Linked DNA regions of Arabidopsis thaliana. Each later gene encodes a partner of the first gene's protein in a complex. Each region holds a gene or a part of one and is shown on either strand. Other genes may lie near its edges.

Region 1 (4,599 bases):
TACATATTGAGATATTTGAGTTGTGGCCTTCACGTTTTCAAGATATATGTGTGTATAAATAATTTTTATGTATATGCAATCGTCATTGTCTTAAATTGTAATAACATACAATGTGACTGTGTGAGACAGGCTGTGTTTTTTTTTTATATAGGTTGAAAATTTGTGCTTAGTCACTTTCAAGACACCTCGTGCCTTTGGGTTAGTTCAATATCCTCGTCGAAAATGAATTTAGTTTTTAAATATTTATTTACCTAAATTTTACTAAATGAGTATTCTTTAAAAATTTGCAAACCTAAATTATGGTAGACTAGTGATTTTGTTTTGTTAGTCCAGAGTATATTTAAATGTTCGCCAAGAGCACTAATGAAATCTTATTAGATTAATTTCATATAAAGATGGAGAAGAGAGTTGTACCATCAGCAATTCTAAAGTTACTTCTCTTCTTCTCATTACACAAATTTATCTCTGAATCTATCTTGAAAGAAACCTTAAACACATGGGCTAATGGACTATTTTTATGATAATGATTGGGCTGCTCTAATAATAAGAAGCATACATACCAAATTTACTAGTGGTTAATTAAAATTAGAGTCGTAAATCCATTAAACATAGCAATATGTCGAAACCCGAACATGCGCCAGTCCAACTCAAACGAAGATCAATCTGACCCGAAATTGTCAAATGAGAGACCTAAAGAAATATGTAAGAAACGTGGATTAGCAAGACTTAGACCCATACACAACGTACAAATAAAACTCAAGGCCCAAGTCGAGAAGCCCCCAAAAACTTATTAGAAAAAGTGAAACACTCATATGGATTAAGCTCATTTTTTCTGTGTGGGCTAGAAATGGATCGAATGAGCTAACTAAGTCGAGATTGTCCAACTAAATTCAAAGACGAAAGAAAATTTCCATCAACCATTTGATTCGACAAAAGACAAATCATAGGTTACTTCACTTTCTCGAGTGAAATCTGAAACTTTTTCAATTTTGCGTGTGAGTGTGACATTTTTTTTTTTTTACCATAAACAAGTATAATCTGTTTTAACTGCTGAAGATTGTAAATTCATTTGATGAAAAAAAAATTAATTGCACAATAAACGCAAACAAACAATCAAAGTCATACTGATGTATCAGAGAGGCATGCTTTGCAATTTTCAAGTTGAAATGATCTCACAAAATGTGTGTACACAAATGAAAAGCCTATCAAGAAGAGACTTGGTTCCCACCTGCGCAAGCCTATGTCATGTCGAATGGCTAAACCTAATCCGAAACTCCATCTCTATCACAAATTTATACTTGAACCTAAATTTTACTTAGACTCATTCTAAAACAGAGAGCAAAACGAGAAGAGGACACAGTCAACGACAAAACATAAGGTCCCATAATGCTTAAACAGAAACACTATCCTCAATCACAAAGTCCCTTTTTCTGAATAGATGCAGTAAGCAAGGGGCGCAAGGCTGAAGACACATAGAAACTCTAAAAGTGTCAATGTACCAAATAACAACAATCCTAGACTGATCTCAAGAAACAGTACCTGAATTTCCAAATATGGTTCCTATATTCAATCGACTAAAGATCCCATATTCTTGGTTATATAAGTTACTCATTCAGATAAATAACTTAACAATGGACTAATGTAACAGTAAGGAGTTTTAAACCATCTGAAATAGTAGTACTACACCGATTCAAAAGTATTTCAAATCGAAACACAAAACATCCAGAAACATCATTACTCAATTCCCATAACTGTTTTTCCAAAACTAAAGCCATTACCTTGTGAAACAGAGATCCTCAAGTGTGATGTAATCAACGCCAACTCGATGGCCAATACGGATGAATTCCATATCCAGTCTTCCAGTTATCCAAGTAAACAACTTTCTTCACAGCCCAGAACGATATGAACAAAGCCAAAAGCATAATCAACCTTTGTGCAGTAATATTCTTCACTCGAACAAGCACATTGGTAACAAACGCCAAAAGCAATCCAACAACAGTATACAAGAATCCAACAGCAAATCCTTCAGCTCCAAGCTGCATTCCAGATCCTTGGTAGAAAAACACAAGCTTATTCGGATCGTTACGATCTTGAAGAAACATCGGCATTTTCCTGATAATGTTGTGCATTGTACCAGCAACACTAAAGAAGTAAATGAAGATAGCACCAGATAACCAAAGTCTAGTATCATGAAGAATAGTTTCTCCTTTCAAAACTCTTTTGATGATAAACGGAGTAGCGATAACGATCAACGCAACGATAATACCGATCTGTGGTTTCGAAAGTAGCGGTGGACGTTGAATAGGACCGACCTTGAGTTTAGTTCGTTGCTCAACAAACTCAGCCATTGATTCAGCTAATCTAGAGTAATCCGATTGATCCATTTGACCAGATTCATCACGTAGATTCGATATCGAAGGACTTACAAGACGAATGTGAGGTAAAGCGTTAACGCCAAAGAGCTGGAACGAAGATTGAGACTTCGAAAACTCGATCTCACAGAAGAAAAGCTTAGTTCCTTCAGATCCATTGTTGTTAGCGAGGAATGAAGCGGAGACGATGCCGAATTCGCGACGGAGCTCTTGAAGACGAAGCTCGTTTTTGCTGTGGAGTTGAGTAGCGTCGAAGAAGACGAGTAACGAGTAAGGACGAGGCGTGGAAGCGGAGGTTAGGAATTTTGAGATTCCATGGTCATCGAGATGGATTACGCCTGATTCGCTTGTTGATCTGAGAGATACAAGTTCGTTGAGAAGATCTGAATCGGAATCCGAATCGGAAAACGAAGCTGCGAATGTGGATGATAGTGTTGCTATGAGGAAGAGAAGAGAGACGAGTTTTGATTTGAGCGCCATTGTTGTTGATCTCTCGTTCTCTCAGATTCGAGAAGACGAAGAAAGTGAAGGAAAAGGGTATTTGCCGTTTACCGGAAAGCCTCTATCTGGAGAAGAAGGTCTCGAAGTTCTTGGTATCTCGCTGGTTGTACCACGTGGAACGTTTTTATTGGTTGATGTACCACGTGGATTATTACGATTCGTGGCATAAAATACCTGTGAGGCTATGAGTTTTGACGAGACATATCCGACTTTCCAAATCCAGAAAAGGAAAAAAAATATATTTAAACATAGATAAAAATTTCAACACCGATAAGTTTTCGTCGTAACTCTAACCCATTCGAATTGATTTAGGCGTTAGGGTTTCTTCATATTTCTCTCTCGGAAGAAGAAGATGGTTTGCGATAAGTGTAAGTCCATCAATAATCTTCTCTTTGAATTCCATATTCTAATTGAATCAATCTATACTTGGATCGGTTTTAATTCTAATTGAATCTATACTATTGGCGTTAGGATTTGTGATTCGTTTCGTTTCTAGCTTAATCGATTACATGTTTCAGGAAGAAATTTAATGATCTCTGATTCGATTTTGGTTTCTTAGATCGAAACCCTAGTTGTAGGATCTCTAATTTAGTTCAAAGTATGAACCTTTTGACTCAATTTGTTTTTATCTTTTAATTTTAGGTGAGAAGAAGTTATCGAAAGTGATAGTTCCTGATAAGTGGAAGGATGGTGCTCGTAATGTAACTGAAGGTGGTGGTCGTAAAATCAATGAGAATAAGCTTCTCTCCAAGAAGAATAGGTATGCATTTCTTATGTTTATCCATCTTCATTTTACTACTTTTCATTATTTGAATTGCAATATGGAAATAGTGATTAATTTGTAGCTTTGGGGATGTTTGTATCGTCTAGTTTGGTATTGGTTTTGTTTCCTGTAGTTTCTTCTAAGAAATATTGGTATTGTAGTTTCGTGTAGTGTCTTTTTTGAGTTGATCCCTCCAGGTTCTTCTAAAAATCATTAGTAATTATAGAATTTCTCATGGAAATAGCGATAAATTTTTTAAGTTTGGGATGTTTGTATTATCTGTTGAGTTGATTAGGCTACTGGACTCTTGCCATCTAGGGTGTAGAACTCCACCGCTTCGCTAGTCCTCTAGGTTTTAATAAGAATCATTAGTAAATGTACAACTTCTCATGGAACTAGCGATATTTGTAACTGTGAATGTTTGTGTTGTCTTTTTTGAGTTGAGTTATTAGTTTTGTTTACTCTTGTTCTGCTTCTAATTTTCTATTGTGATATTTCTTTGCCTTGTAGATGGTCACCTTACAGTACCTGTACCACAAAATGTATGATCTGCAAGCAGCAAGTGCATCAAGATGGTAAATACTGTCACACATGTGCCTATAGCAAAGGTAAATAGTTAATACATCTGTTTTACTCTACTAAATTCTTACCTCTGGTTGGATAGTGATATTATAGAGTAACTTAACAACTGATGGAATTGCCTCTTCGTGGTTGTGCAGGAGTGTGCGCAATGTGCGGGAAGCAAGTGTTGGACACCAAGATGTACAAGCAAAGCAATGTATAAACAAATCCGCAAGCGTTTCACATTTTAGTTTTTGTCCCTTTGATGTCAACGTTGTATCCTCTCACTCATGTATTTTTTTGTATCGGTTTCCTCCGGTTTTAATATAACCAAACAGAATCTTGTTGCTTCACTGTGTTTCTTGACTGATCATAAAGTTAATGTTTCGTTTTAGAACTCGA
Region 2 (3,029 bases), on another chromosome or scaffold:
TTTTCCCTTTTATTCTCACAAGGATATCCTTAAATGATTAGGATTTATTGCGATCAAAGTTATTATCGGTCAGGCCCTAGATAACGTACATAAAGTTCATTGTGGTGGTTGGAGTCTCAGGATCTTAGCAGTGAATAGTTGTTTCCAATCTATACATAAGTTTTCATTTCTTGTCAGCGAAATCAGCAAAAGTTTGTTATTTTTTTTGTAAGATATACTGATATAAATCTTCATTATTCTTACAAGTTACATTTTCCACTCTATAGGGCTGAGTTTACAAAGGAAATTGTTACGCCGGCGATTGGTGTCTCAGGTGTTGGTGGGGCGATGGCAGTCTACGGAGCTCTTGATGCAGTTGTAAGTTAAAAGGAAACGTAAAAAATCATCCTTTTTTACTCTCGTGTTTTTTTTATGTGGTTAATCCTTATTTTTCCTGCTGTAAAATCATTCTAGTGTTCAATGACTGCTGGAAGGTTTACCTCTGGTTTGTCATCGATCACCTTCATAGTTTCTGGTGGAGCTGTTGCTCAAGCTTCTGTGTTTCTCTGGCTTCTTCTCGGGTACAGGTTTGATACTTCTACACCCTATTTTCATTCAAACCATTAGCAACTTCACAAATAGAGACATATCGAGTCTAGAAGTCCTTGTGTTTCTGAATTCATGAAATGATTTCCTCATAAAGCTTCATTATGGGTATTGGTATGTATTAGTGGCATTGATCAAGCAACTTCCTTTGGTAGTATCCCGATTTCTTTGTCATATTTGTGAAACTATGCAAGTTCTGAAGAGAATTAGGAATTGCGGGCACCTGACAACCTATAAGTGTTTCTGAAGAATCTAAGCTATGGTGATATGGTGATGCAGGCAAACTAGCGGAGTACTTGGCACAGCTTACCCACTTATAATGGCGGCCATATTAGGAATTGGTGATGGAATATTAAATACTCAAATCAGTGCTCTTCTCGCATTACTCTTCAAACATGACACGGTTAATATTATCAAAATATTATTATTGTTATTCTCTCAACTGACAAATCCTCTAAACGGTCTCCTATGTTTGTACTTGTGAAAACAGGAAGGAGCATTTGCGCAGCTAAAAGTATGGCAGAGCGCAGCAATAGCGATAGTGTTCTTCCTAAGCCCGTACATATCACTGCAAGCAATGCTCATAGTGATGCTGGTTATGGTCTGTGTTTCACTCTTCTCTTTCCTGTTTTTAGCTCTTAAGGTAGAGAATGTATTTACCCACGACGAATAACTCTTTGATCTGTTCACATTCGGGGAGATCACAAGTGTGAAAAGCTTAAAACAGTATTGTCTATTCAATTGTAAAGAACAAAAATGGTCGTTTTGTATAATAATTAATGTCTCTGGAAGTTCCTTATAATTGAGACTTGGGAAGTATGCAACTTTTCAATTTTTCAGTCTTTCCTTTATTCATGTCCTGGATATGACATTTGTAGCAAACCGATATTGACCAAATTAAACCACAAGAACCAAATCTAATAGATGTGAATTTCTCGGTTAAATTAACTAGAAACGTCGTCGTTTGGAGCTAGCTTTTACTTTATTTTTGTAAAACATGTGTTTCATTCAGAGAGACTTCACAGTTGAAGAAACACATTTCACGAGTTCCCTGCTCTTCCAGAATTCTCTATCACGAAATTCTCTGCGCTTTCGAAGGTAAATAATCGGTGATTTCTTTAGGATCTTTTTTTATATACCTTCATATTTTCGAATTCAAATTCTGGTTCTTAGGCATAATTTAGTCCCCGAGGTTTACACTGTGATCTGAGCAAAGCCTTTGTTTCATCTCACAGGTATCAGATTCAACCAATGTCGTGGTTTGGTTATCTTATGAATCAATATTATTTTTATTAACACGTATTGTTCTTACTAGATTTCGTGTTCCAGATCAGGTCTTGTTTGTAGAAGAAATATATATTGAATTTGTAATCAAAATCATGGATTCATTATAATGTATGACCGTAATCGTTGCTACCAATTTTGATAATGATTCGGATATCCTCTAGATCTAGCTGAGATTTTGGAGTGATTTCTACAAGATATAGCTGAGAATGTAGTAGATGTGAACATTTTTGTGAATATCTGATTCGTTTAATCTTCAGACTTCACTTGCTAAGCTTAGCTCTTTGTTCTAATATTCTCTCCAATGGTTATTGTGTTACAGATGTTTGACGATCAAGATCTGGGATTCTTTGCCAATTTCCTGGGAATCTTCATTTTCATACTGGTGATTGCCTACCATTTCGTCATGGCTGACCCTAAATTCGAATAGAAATGAGGTTCAGAATCATTGTTGGTTTCTACAATGTTATGTCAGACTCAACATGTCATTCAGATTCGATACTTGAAGATGTTTTTTTGTAGCTCTTAAGGAAGATGTTTAAGCTTTTGTAATACTTGGTTTTAGCTGCAGAAATCTTTTTTTTTTGTAGTGCTGTTATTCATATACTTTGATAATTCGCTATAAAAGGCTTGTTTCTATAGCAATTTCCGGGTCTTGCATGTTAAATTATGAGCGGATTTGTTATCTGATAGGTTGGTGAAAGCTTTGCTGTATATTTTTGTTTGGATTTACATGTTCATTGATACAAGACCAATCACGAGTCCGTGTATCTGTTAGAGCTAGAGCTAGATGAACTCCAGTTAATAATGAGAATTGTTCTGTTTGCAGCGTTTCTATGTTTTGTTGCTCTAGAGAAACAATTTGCTTCGTTTTTGCTCTTTTTTAGATTAATTTTGTACACCAAACGTTTCTTACAAAATGGTTTGTGCTATAGGTACTAACATCCTCTAGAATTCTTCCAAAATCAAGTTGTATGGGTTATTTCTGTCATAATACATATTGTTTCCTGCATTAATCTGCTAATGCAGAACCCTAGACTGCTCAGACATAGGGCAGTTTCACTCTTGAACGCATCGTCTGCTGTGTTACAACTTATCTTGTCTGTTGCTTCCTTCAGTAGCATGACGAAAGAAACCGAAAACCTCTCCACATCAGCCTG

What was found. The genes of interacting proteins can lie anywhere in the genome.
Region 2: AT1G61790 (region 1) and AT3G09455 share a complex: the UniProt entries of both Arabidopsis thaliana proteins name them as parts of the oligosaccharyltransferase (OST) complex.

The regions. Positions count from the first base shown.
Region 1 is NC_003070.9:22,812,643-22,817,241, reverse strand, and holds AT1G61790 (Oligosaccharyltransferase complex/magnesium transporter family protein), read right to left. Parts: upstream 2,876-4,599; 5' UTR 2,853-2,875; coding exon 1,812-2,852; 3' UTR 1,779-1,811; exon of another isoform or gene 1,085-1,778; intron 691-1,084; 3' UTR 554-690; downstream 1-553. Other genes in the region: AT1G61780 (postsynaptic protein-like protein), read left to right, coding at 3,226-3,241, 3,516-3,633, 4,147-4,244, 4,356-4,420. UniProt on the Arabidopsis thaliana protein: Subunit of the oligosaccharyl transferase (OST) complex that catalyzes the initial transfer of a defined glycan (Glc(3)Man(9)GlcNAc(2) in eukaryotes) from the lipid carrier dolichol-pyrophosphate to an asparagine residue within an Asn-X-Ser/Thr consensus motif in nascent polypeptide chains, the first step in protein N-glycosylation.
Region 2 is NC_003074.8:2,909,897-2,912,925, reverse strand, and holds AT3G09455 (dolichyl-diphosphooligosaccharide-protein glycosyltransferase subunit), read left to right. Parts: upstream 1-1,571; 5' UTR 1,572-1,820; intron 1,821-2,191; coding exon 2,192-2,299; 3' UTR 2,300-2,515; downstream 2,516-3,029. Other genes in the region: AT3G09470 (Major facilitator superfamily protein), read left to right, coding at 267-357, 454-566, 865-988, 1,076-1,258; AT3G09450 (fusaric acid resistance family protein), read right to left, coding at 2,835-3,029. UniProt on the Arabidopsis thaliana protein: Subunit of the oligosaccharyl transferase (OST) complex that catalyzes the initial transfer of a defined glycan (Glc(3)Man(9)GlcNAc(2) in eukaryotes) from the lipid carrier dolichol-pyrophosphate to an asparagine residue within an Asn-X-Ser/Thr consensus motif in nascent polypeptide chains, the first step in protein N-glycosylation.